Linked DNA regions of Macaca mulatta. The protein of the gene in region 2 interacts with the protein of the main gene of each other region in a biochemical or structural test. Links are inferred from orthologs where the notes say so. Each region holds a gene or a part of one and is shown on either strand. Other genes may lie near its edges.

Region 1 (4,141 bases), on a different chromosome or scaffold from region 2:
ATCTCAACGAACGACTGCATTCGTTCGTTCATTCATTCATTCACTCAGTAAGCATTCATTCTAAGTACCTTCTTTTTGCCAAGCACTGTGCCAGGAACTAGATACACAAAGAGGAACTTTTGCCCTTGAGAAGCTCGCGAATAATGCTAGTGTGGCAAGATAAATTCTGTAATGGTGGTTTGAGTGTCCCATAGGAGCCTGAGGGGTGGGGTGGTAGACATGAATTGAGCCTTAGATGATGGGTAGGAATTTGCAGGTGGCACAGGAGAAAATACCAGTCCAAGCAGCCAAGCAGAGGGAATACATGAGGAGAGACAAAGAGGTCTGAGAGCCTGATGTGTGTGGGGAAATGGCAAGCAGTCCTGGCTACTCTTAAGGGTGAGGAGAGACCACAAGGGAGCTACAGCTGGTGTTCCTTTCCTGGATGACAGAGCCTCTGATGTTCCAGGCAGTTTATGCCTAACAAAGTCATTACTTCAGACTGGGAGACTTGATTAGTTTTTCCTGAGGCTGCTCCCTGGTCCATCACCTAGTGGGATCCAGGATTGAACAGTTTGTAGGGCTGGAACATGGTGTCATGGTCATCACCCTCCTCTCCATTCTCTGAAGTCCAGCTCAAAAAGGGCCACCCATCACCTTTCTTGATTCTCAGATCCTCAAATGGCTGGACTCTCTTGCACATCTTCAGCACTGACCACAAACAACATTTTATGCTGTTTCTTCTCCCCACTAGAAGGTGAGCTCCTTGGATCCACAGTCTGAGCCATCTGCAGTTTCAAATCCCCTCAAATCTTCCAGCACAGTGCTTTGCAAATAGAAGGAACTCAGTGACTATTTGCTGAATGAATAAGTAAATGAACAAAAGGTGTTTTTTTTTTCTTTGCTCAACCACTATTCTCTTAAATTCTTGGGACAGAAAAGAGGACTTAAAAGAAGTTTCATTGTGGAACAGACATTTCTTACCATTTTCCCCATTTCATCTTTTCCAGCACAAGCCCTGTAGGTATAAAGTTTGACTTGTGTTTTCAGAAAGGCAGACACTGGAAGAGGATGGCTGCAAAGCAGTTCAAGAGGTACACACCAAGTAAGCACAGGTTCTCTCATCAAATTCTAGACTCTCTAAAAAACAGGTCCCCGAAGTCTGCAAAGGCAAGTAAGGACAATAAGGAGTTTCCTCCATGTGCCAAGCTGTATAGGTTACAAAGTGCACGGGAAGGCGGGGAGGGCAGGGTACCAAGGGCAGAGTCAATCAGAGACCTACAACAGACTAAGGAACTGAAAAAGCCCAGAGAAGAGAAAGCACTTGCCAAAGTCACAGAGCTAGGTAAAGGCAGAACTGGGAAAAGAGCCCCATTCTCTAACCTTCTAACTCCCAATCCACAAAACTTCACTCCACCAGGCTGCCTGTCTAAAATGTAAAGCAGTTGTTACACTGAGTTCTGTAAAGCTGAGGATAAGTAGGTTCAGGAAGAAAGTTTACTGAGAAGTAGTTTCAGCCGTGTTACCAAAGGACCTTAGAAATAATCCACATTTAATTCTAACCACTCTCACCCACCAGTCACGGTTGATGAACCATGCTTCTGAATGAGACAGAGAGAGAGAAGGGGGGGGGGAGGAAAGAAGGAGGGGGAGAGAAAAGGAGGGAAGGAGGGAGGAAGGAGGCAGGAAGGGGGAGAGGGGGAGAGGGAGAGAGAGGGAGAGGGTAGTGGGGGGAGAGGGGGGAGAGAGAGAGAACTAACTTCTTAGAGTACTTCTTCCCAGGGACCTGGTGTTATCTGGTCCCTGTTAACACCTGTACTCAAAATAATTCACCTCTTTGAAATCAGATAATGAGTTAAAAATTCATTTAGGATGAGCTCAATGTCAGAGCATAAGAGCCTCAACTCTAACCTGCAGTGGAAGAGCCAGAGGTGAGTGATTTACACCTAACCCTCTGCAGAGCAAGAACACAGTGTTCTGATTTCTAGGTTCCTGCAGGTTCCCTCAAACCTGCTGCTGAGGCACACCCATGTTTCTAAAAGAATGCATGTACTAGATATGCCAGGCTCAGCCCGGATACTTCCATTCTTTAGTTCTCATTCAGTCATTCATTCACTCAAGGAGTAAGTGTGGAGTGAATGTACACTGCAGATGCCACAGAGACTTAAAAAACCCTGAGCCCCTGCCTTCGGAGGGTCGTTCAGGCCATCTTCACGTTTCCCGAGGTGCCCATCCTACCTGGGGGCCCTATCCCGAGCAACTGTCCAATCATCTCTGCTAGGGGATGTAGTAGGCGGCAGAAAGGAATGGTTAGAAGGGTTCAAATCTCGGCTCTACCACTTAAGCAGCTGTGCAAGAGGCTCCACGTCTCCGAACCTCAAGTGTCCTCATCTGTAAAGTGTTGAGAAGAATGGCACCTTCTTCACAAGCATGTTAGCAGGCTGAGATTACGAACAATGCTGAGGGCTCGGTATAGAGTAGCTCCTCTGCTGTTTCTCGTTTTGTATTCAATTGTTGGAAGAGAAGGAAGGAGGCTGGCAGGAGACGCGGCAGCGGCGCGCCCCGCAGAGTCAGGGAGGTTCTTTGGCTTCACCTCTGGACTCCGCTCGGAATGGTCCGCAAGGACGGGGCCAGAGCTCCCCAGATCTCTAAGCGGTGGGTGGAGGGGAGCTTAGGATTTGGGACTCAGCACGGCCGAGGAACCCGTGAGGGCTGCGACCGTGGCCTTCACCCTGCTCGGCCTCCTCAGTCCCAACACTCACCATGATTGTGGCGGTGGCTGCTCCGGGTCTCGGACGTGGCAGCTCCCGGCGGCGCCTCCGAATAGCTCACTTCCGGCGCCCGGCCCTCAAGCTGCCGGGCCGTGGCGTAGGAGCCTCCGGGCAGCAACGCGCTCGGCTCTCACAACAGTTCCGCGCCTTCCAAAGGGCGCGCCCCGCCTTCCCGAGGCCCAGCCCCTATCCTCCAGTGACGCCGAGACCAGAGGGCTGAGGCTCTGGTTGCCGCAGTGACCCTGACCAGGGGGGCTTTGGAATCTGAAGCTCTGGTGGGTCTACTCTCCCGACCAAGTCTGCCCTTTTCCTGAGATCCATAAACGAAAGGAAAGATTAATATAACTATCGGCCGGGCGCGGTGGCTCATGCCTGTAATCCTAGAACTTTGGGAGGCCGAGCTGGGGGCGGATCACCTGAGGTCAGGAGTTCGAGACCAGCCTGACCAACATGGTGAAATCCCGTCTCTACTAAAAATACAAAAATTAGCCGGGCATGGTGGCGCGCGCCTGTAGTCCCAGCTACTCGGGAGGCTGAGGCAGGAGAATCGCTGGAACCCGGGAGGCGGAGGTTGCAGTGAGCCATGACTGCACCGTTGCACTCCAGGCTGGGCGACAGAGCGAGACTCTTGTTAAAAAAAAAAAAAAAATCTATCTATCTACCTATCTATCTATCTATCTACCTACCTACCTACCTACAGCTTCACCCGCCTCTCTGCGGCTCTGGGTGAGACTGGCCTTATGTTGAATGTTGTAGGATGAGTGATGTCTTGGGAGTAAGTAGACTGTCCTAGTGCTTCCTTGTTGTAGTCCCCCCATCAGGACCCAAGGACTGGGACCAGGGCAGAGGAGGCCAGGGAATGCCCCTCACCAGAGGCTGGGACCTCTCACCCTGCCATCCCTAACCCCTATATAGGACTGCCCCTTCCAAACCGATCCCCCGGGGTCCTGAGTAAGTCCCATCAGGGAGATTCCCCATAGGCAATGAAGGATCTCAGCCAGGCTCCTGCAGCTAGAGCCCTAGACCTAATTCCTAGCATCCCTGACCCCAGGTCTCTGGCTTCCCAAGGTAGGGCAGCTGAAGGTTCCCCACAAGCGCAGTGAGAATGCCACACTGGAGGACAGAGCCTGGGCCCCCCTCCCCCTCAGCCACGTATGGTCTAACCCTGGGGCCCTTGTGATATTAAGGAGGCAGGTGAGCTGGGGTAGGCCTTGACTCCCCTTGGGTAAGTCACAGTCCTTCAGTTTCCTCTGTTGAAACTGGGAGTAAGGACCCTAGCTGGAGATGGTCACTGCTTGAAGGAAGATGTTAAGGCTCGGAGAGTGTGATAGACCCAGACTGTCAAGGAGCTTTGGAGAGGAGGTCAGGGGAGTAGGGGGTTAGAACTAAGG
Region 2 (3,500 bases):
GACGGAGTCTCGCTCTGTCGCCCAGCCCAGGCTGGAGTGCAGTGGCGCGATCTCGGCTCACTGCAAGCTCCGCCTCCCGGGTTCACGCCATTCTCCTGCCTCAGCCTCCCGAGTAGCTGGGACTACAGGCGCCCACAACCGCGCCCGGCTAATTTTTTGTATTTTTAGTAGAGACGGGGTTTCACCGTGGTCTCGATCTCCTGACCTTGTGATCCGCCCGCCTCGGCCTCCCAAAGTGCTGGGATTACAGGCGTGAGCCACCGCGCCCGGCCTACTTCTTTCTATATAGACACAGTAACAGTCTGATCTCTCTTTCTTTTCCCCACACCACCATTTTCTGAGTGTTGTTGTTTGTTTTTTGTTGGCCCAGGTGTTATATGAACTTCCCACCAACACACAGTGGTGCTTCGATATTCAGTGGTGTCCCCGAAATCCTGCTGTCTTATCAGCTGCTTCGTTTGATGGGCGTATCAGTGTTTATTCTATCATGGGAGGAAGCACAGACGGTTTAAGACAGAAACAAGTTGACAAGGTAATAGGAAGTGTTAAAGTTTTCTATTATAATGCCTGAAAAAAGTACATGTTGTGTAATATTTTGAAATGACTTCACTGATTAACATTGCTGGTTAATTGGACAATTGTGATCAAAAATTTTTTTGGATATGACTGGAAAAAAATGAAAGATAGTTTGTGTATGGTCAGATTCTCATGTTATTAATCTTTTTTAGCTTTCATCATCTTTTGGGAATCTTGATCCCTTCGGCACAGGACAGCCCCTTCCTCCATTACAAATTCCACAGCAGACTGCTCAGCATAGTATAGTGCTGCCTCTGAAGAAGCCGCCCAAGTGGATTCGAAGGCCTGTTGGTGCTTCTTTTTCAGTAGGTGGATTTTGTTTTTATGGTCCATAGTCACAAAGGACTTTTTATACCAAAGTGTTATTACAGGATCACTCTGATGGAAGAAGTCGGGGTTTAAGTTGGGATTTGAGATGTATTTGTGGGTATTTCATCATTCAAAATGATTTCTCTGAAAAACTGGAACCTACTCTTTTTTTTCCCTTTTTTAAAAACATGGTAAAATATACATAAAATTTATCATTTTATCCATTTTCAAATGTACAGTTCAATGGCATTAAGTACATTTACATTGTTGTTGTGTAGCCAACACTCTATGTTCCTCCCCCCACTTTTTTTTTTTAAATATTTTTTTATTTTAGACAGAGTCTTGCTCTGTTGCCCAGGGTGGAGTGCACTGGCGCAATCTCGGCTCACTGCAACCTCCGCCTCCTGGGTTCAAGCAGTTCTCCTGCCTCAGCCTCCTGAGTAACTGGAATTACAGGTGCACGCCACCACACCTGGCTAATTTTTGTATTTTTAGTAGAGATGCGGTTTTACCATGTTGACTGGGGCTGGTCTCGAACTCCTGACCTCAGGTGATCCACCTGCCTCGGCCTCCCAAAGTGCTGGGATTACAGGCATGAGTCACTGTACCAGGCCCTCCTCCCTTTTTTTTAAATGTGTCTTCCTTCTCTCTCTCTCTCTCTCTCTCTCTCTCTCTCTCTCTCTCTCTCTGTCTCTCTAGCTCTTTCCCTCGCTCCCTCCCTCCCTTCTTTTTTTCTTTTCTTTTCTCTTCTCTTCTCTTTTCTTTTCTTTTCTTTTCACAGGGAGTGTCCTCCCTCCTCTTCATCCTTTTAGCTTTCTTTTTTAATTGTCAGCTTTTTTTATTGTAAAAAATACGTAATATAAAATTTACTATCTTAACAATTTTAAATATACACTACAACCATTTTTAAATATATACTACAGTAGTGTTAACTATATACATGTTGTTGTGCAACAGATCTCTAGAACTTTTTCATCTTGCAAAACTGAAACTCTGTGCCCTTGAACAGCAGCTCCCCATTTCCTCTTTCCCTTGAATCCCTGGTAACCACATTCTACTTTGTTGCTAGGAGTTTTACTACTTTAAATTACTCATATAAATGGAATCATGCAGTACTTGTCTTTTTGTGGCTGGCTTATTTTACTTAGCTTAATGTCCTCAAGGTTTATTTGTGTTGTAGCATGACAGAATTTACTTCTTTTTACAGGCCAAATAATATTGCATTGTATATATATATATATACCACATTTTTTTTATCCTTTCATTTGATGGTCATTTTGGTTGCTTCCATCTTTTGGCTATTGTGAATAAATGCTGTGGTGAACATGGGTTTGTAATTATCGTTTTGGGATCCTGTTTTCAGTTTTTTGAGACATATACCCAGAAGTGGGATTGCTGGATCGTACGATGGTTCTATTTTTAAGTTTTTGAAGAACCTCTATACCGTTACCATTTTACATTCTCACTAATAGTGCACAAGGGTTCTAGTTTCTCCACATCCTCTCTAGCACTTTTTGTTTGTTTGTTTCTTTCTTCCTTTTACATTGCTGACACTTTGCCTAATTCTTTCACACCAGACTTCTAATAGCTTGATTGCATATTTGTTGCTTGTCTTTTTCCTCTCTAATCTTTACTACATATTCCAAGATTAATCTTCCTAAAATAGACCTTCGAATATGTTTTATGTCACTCATAAGTTTGTTCTTTGGATCTACTTAATCTTCTCATCATCCTATCTGGTCTTCTGTATCTGGGTGGATCACTTGAGGTTTGGAGTTCAAGACCAGCCTGGCCAACATGGTGAAACCCTGTCTACTAAAAATACAAAAATTAGCCAGGCGTGTGGCCGGCACCTGTAATCCCAGCTACTCAGGAGGCTGAGGCAGGAGAATCACTTGAACCCAGGAGGCAGAGGTTGTAGTGAGCCAACATCCCGCCTTTGCACTCCAGCCTGGGTGACTAAGAGTGAAACTCTGTCTCAAAAAAAAAAAAGTACATTTCATCTAGAACAGAAATTGAAGTGATGTCAGACTGTGGCGCATGAGAGGTGGTATCAACTAATTTCATCCAGATTATCTGTTTAGGCCACTTTATAAGCACTGTTTTTGGCCATATCCTCGGGTTAACACTGAGTTTGTTCATTCTCTCTTTTATAGTTTGGAGGCAAACTGGTTACATTTGAGAATGTTAGAATGCCTTCTCATCAGGGAGCTGAGCAGCAGCAGCAGCAGCACCATGTGTTCATTAGTCAGGTTGTAACAGAAAAGGAGTTCCTCAGCCGGTCAGACCAACTTCAGCAGGCTGTGCAGTCACAAGGATTTATCAATTATTGCCAAAAAAAAATTGATGCTTCTCAGACTGAATTTGAGAAAAATGTGTGGTCCTTTTTGAAGGTAAAGTTGCTATTTAAGGCTGTATTATTTCATTATCTGCAAATTTAACTGTTCCATTATATTCTAAATCTGTCTTCCTTTTAAAGAATTGAAAAAGTGTGATTTCAGCAATTCATCATGAAATTAAGAAGCCTTATAAAGAGCATACAACCTGTGTCCAGAGTTTTTCCTTCTCTACTTTGAAAAGTGTAATACGAAATACATTTTTAATAAGAAAACAAA
Region 3 (4,109 bases), on a different chromosome or scaffold from region 2:
CTCACAGAGGAAAATAGTATTACCAAACACAATTTGTCTAGACACTGAGATAAGCTGAACTAATTAACCTCTTTGCCTTTTCAGTCACTAAGATAAGTGCACCAAAATCAATTAGAATTTACTGAATCAATTAGAATTTCCTTAGAATCAATTCAGCGGTGATGACAGGGACCATTATGATGCAGAGTATATACTGAGGTCTGTGGGTCGCAGGGCTCAGAGGATTATCGCCGCAGCGTTGTTCGGCACGAAAAGGCCATTGTGGACAATGGACGTGAAAAAATTTGAGGCCTCTGTGGGTTTTCTCGATGTCAAAAAGTTTCTCAGTACCTGGAAGGTAAAACATACTTGCTGCAATCAGATGCTTGGCATATTAAGCGTTGGAATTCTCTCTGTGTGCCCTGCCTCGTGAGCAGTAGGGAGGAACTCAGGCTCAGACAGTCGCTGAGCTGTAGATACATTCCCAGGCTCCCTGCCGGACCCCACAACATCCGGCCTTTTTTGTTTTTTTCTTTTTTTTTTTTTTTTGGAGACGGCGTTTCAGTCGGTCGCCCAGGCTTGAGTGCAGTGGCGCGATCTCGGCTCACTACAACCTCCGCCTCCTGGGTTCTAGCGATTCTCCTGCCTTAGCCTCCTGAGTAGCTGGGATTACAGACGCGTGCGACAACGCCCGGCTAATGTTTTTTGTATTTTTAGTACAGATGGGGTTTCACCATGTTGGCCAGGCTGGTCTCAAATTCCTGACCTCAAGTAATACACCCGCCTTGGCCTCCCAAAGTGCAGGGATTATAGGCGTGAGCCACCACGCCCGGACTTTTTTTTTTTTTTTTTTCAACAGGGTCTCTGCAGTGGCGACTCTGGCTTACTGCAACCTCTGCGCCTAGCTCAAGTGATCCTCCTGCCTCAGCCTCCCGAGTAGCTGGGACTACAGTCGGGGCCACCACGCCGGGCTAATTTTTTTTTTTTTTTTTTTTTTTTAGAAACGGGGTTTTGCCGTGTTCCCCAGGCGGGTGTGGAACTCCGGAGCTCAGGTAATTCGCTCGCCTCGGCCTGCCAAAGTGCCGGGATTACAGGCGTGAGCCACCATGCCCTGCCCACCAGACCTTTTTCTAATTCGGCTTCCTAGCAACGTGCAGAGGCCCGGCACCAGGGTACAGGCAGGTCACGTGACACCACCTCTTCACGTGACGCAGACTCGAGCGGGAGGAGGGCGGTGCTCCAGCTGCATTGCGTCATCACGTCGCGCGGCCGCAGGGACCAGACCTGGACGGCTCCAGAGCCTCCAGAGCCTCCGGGTGGGGGCGGCGGCGGCGGCTCTTCGGCTCTTCCTGAGCCGCCTGCTGGCCCCGCGCCCCACTCCATCCCCACAGGCTGGGGACGGGCCCGGCGCTGCTGTGTGGGCTCGGGAGCGGAGGTGAGTTGCGCGGAAGTGATGGCAGTCAGCCCTTCCCTTCCTGTCCGTCAACTCCGGGTTATGGCCCTACCCCCCATCCTTGGTCTCCCTGTAAGGCGGAATGGGAGACATGCCGGAGAGAGGAGGAAGGCTGGCGGGGGGGCGGGGCATCTGGCCTCAGTCGCCCTCTCAACTCTCCCCTGAATTGCCCCCCTGCGATACCTCCATCTGGCGGCGCCGGTCATATGCCTGGTGGTATCAGAAGGAAGGAGTTCGTTTCCTTCTCTAGAATGTAGTCTTTCCGGAATTTACTACCCCATTCCTGCCCCGAATCTCCCGAAGTGGAATCCCTCTATTCAGATGTTAACGGAAGTTCTAGAAAATAGGTCACTTCAGAAGGGTGAGGGTGAAGGATATGCTGAGACTTGGAGTGTTGAGGCAGGAATCCCCTAGAAGGAAGGCCACTCTGCACTAGGGGTACTGTCATTTTGGCACGGAAACGATAAAACACCCCCCAGGCTGTCTTCACTGTAAATGGACGTTTGTTCCAGACTCTTTTTGCACCCCTAGAGTTGAAACTAAGTTGACTTAAGTCTTTTTGAAAAACATATGCTTTGATGAATCACCCCCTTTTCTGCAAAATGGGTCATGCAGTTGTTGGAGGGATTATCTATAGTGCTTATAGAGTAAAATGCCAACTATAAACAGAAGTAGATGAGAATTTAGGATCTCATTTTTCCTGTTGAAAAATTACTTGTGAGTTGCGAACTTCTGGAGACCACAGTTTTATTTCCTGCCGTCCCCCTACCCCCGCCCCGCCGGATCGTTTCAGAAAGTTTTGGATTCCAATATTGATTCGTTAACCAGTAATGGACATTTACAGATATAGAGTAGGAATACCCTCTTGTTGAGGAGCTTCAATATCTTAAGCAAGTGTAAGTCCATCGGTAACTTGCGTGGTTTCCACTATTCAGTTAGGGTAATAGGTCAATTGAAGTTTCTTTCTTTCTTTTTTTTTTTTTTTTTTTGAGACAGAGTCTCGCCCTATTGCCAGGCTGGAGTGCGGTGGTGTGATCTCATCTCAATTCAACCTCCACCTCCTGGGTTCAAGCGATTCTCGTGCCTCAGCCTCCTTGGTAGCTAGGATTACAGGCGCGCGTCACCACACCTGGCTATTTTTTGTATTTTTAGTGGAGGCTAGGTTTCACCATGTTGGCCAGGCTGGTGTCAAACTCCTGACCTCAACTGATCCACCCATTTCAGCCTCCTAAAGTGCTGGGATTACAGGCGTGAGCTACTGGGCCTGGCCTGAAGTTTCATTTTAAGAAGAAATCCAGATATAGCTGAAAGTCATCAGACATAATTATTTGGCTACTTCTTTAGAAAAAAGTTTATTTTTACTGACTGGCCTTTCTCTCTCTAAGTTGAAGTTGAATACACACTTATTCTTACATTAAATTGTAAACATTCATTGTGCAACTTCTAGGATAGAAAGCATACATATAAAGCAGGATCCTCAGCCTCTAAATACTTATCTACTTAAGGATATTAAATAGTAATGATATAACACCTTTAAGAAATTGTATATTTTCAATTTGTCATTTGAGACAAGAACCTTGTGAAGATTTACAGGACATATATTGTTTATCTCTACTTACGTTTCAGCATTGATCATAATAAATGTCAAGTGGTAGGGACACTCCGTGGTAGAGGAATTCAGAGAAAGAAGAGAGAACTTTTACATGTACTAGATAGTGGCTAGATAGTGGTGGTGATGCCAGGCATAGGAGTGCCCTCAACTTGTGTCTGTTTGGGTCTGAGGGAAGCCTCTTAGGTTCTTAATTTGTAAAACTAATTAAATATGTTCAGTTTCCCTAGTTCTTTGAATATGCTCATTGTTTTTTTTCTCTTGTAGCTTCAGAATCCAAGGACCCATTTTGTTTTTTCTCCGCACTGCTTTATGGGAGGCATTATGGCCCCCAAAGACATAATGACAAATACTCATGCTAAATCCATCCTCAATTCAATGAACTCCCTCAGGAAGAGCAATACCCTCTGTGATGTGACATTGAGAGTAGAGCAGAAGGATTTCCCTGCCCATCGGATTGTGCTGGCTGCCTGTAGTGATTACTTCTGTGCCATGTTCACTAGTGAGGTAAGTGATAAGTTAGCCCCACACAAATGAAACTCCCGTGGTACTCTAGTTGTCTTATTTCACTGAATAAAATAGTAGAACTTTGATATAATTGTGAATTTTTACAGTGTGATGTTTTGGCAGATTCTGGATAAGATCTACCACTTAGATGACTATGCTTTAGTTTCCTCATCTTTAAGTTAGGAATAACAGTAATATGTAATAACTGGTTATTAAGGTTATTGTGAAGATTATTTTATGAAATAACGTACAAAATGCTTAGAGTAGTTTAATATGCAGTAAAACACAAATGTCAGCTATTGGATTTTACTATTTCTTAAATTTGTTTTCCAATTTTTCTCCTTTTTTTGTTTTTAATTTTATTTATTTATGTATTTATTTGTAGAGACAGGGTCTCACTGTGTTGCCCAGGCTGGTCTTGAACTCCTGGGCTCAAGCAATCCTCCCACCTTGGCCTCCCAGAGTGGCCACATCTGGCATTACAGGTGTGAGCCACTGCACCTGGCCTTTTCTCCTTCTAAAGTCTAAAAATTTTTAAGTGAGTACCAGAGGGATGAGGAG

The links. The genes of interacting proteins can lie anywhere in the genome.
Region 1: the proteins of SEC31A (region 2) and SEC13 form a complex in vitro, tested with the Homo sapiens proteins (2 studies listed by BioGRID and IntAct, with this or other methods). The link is inferred for Macaca mulatta from reciprocal best matches to the Homo sapiens genes SEC31A and SEC13.
Region 3: of the proteins of SEC31A (region 2) and KLHL12, one has a biochemical effect on the other in vitro, tested with the Homo sapiens proteins (3 studies listed by BioGRID, with this or other methods). The link is inferred for Macaca mulatta from reciprocal best matches to the Homo sapiens genes SEC31A and KLHL12.

What each region holds. Positions count from the first base shown.
Region 1 is NC_133407.1:149,175,576-149,179,716, forward strand, and holds the start of SEC13 (protein SEC13 homolog), read right to left. Parts: upstream 2,801-4,141; 5' UTR 2,745-2,800; coding exon 2,742-2,744; exon of another isoform or gene 2,218-2,741; intron 1,142-2,217; exon of another isoform or gene 1,105-1,141; coding exon of another isoform or gene 964-1,104; intron 1-963. UniProt on the Homo sapiens protein: Functions as a component of the nuclear pore complex (NPC) and the COPII coat. At the endoplasmic reticulum, SEC13 is involved in the biogenesis of COPII-coated vesicles.
Region 2 is NC_133410.1:50,915,231-50,918,730, forward strand, and holds part of SEC31A (protein transport protein Sec31A), read left to right. Parts: intron 1-370; coding exon 371-532; intron 533-728; coding exon 729-881; intron 882-3,041; coding exon 3,042-3,278; intron 3,279-3,500. UniProt on the Homo sapiens protein: Component of the coat protein complex II (COPII) which promotes the formation of transport vesicles from the endoplasmic reticulum (ER).
Region 3 is NC_133406.1:60,591,088-60,595,196, reverse strand, and holds the start of KLHL12 (kelch-like protein 12), read left to right. Parts: upstream 1-1,309; 5' UTR 1,310-1,414; exon of another isoform or gene 1,415-1,442; intron 1,443-3,271; exon of another isoform or gene 3,272-3,308; coding exon of another isoform or gene 3,309-3,353; coding exon 3,354-3,548; intron 3,549-4,109. UniProt on the Homo sapiens protein: Substrate-specific adapter of a BCR (BTB-CUL3-RBX1) E3 ubiquitin ligase complex that acts as a negative regulator of Wnt signaling pathway and ER-Golgi transport.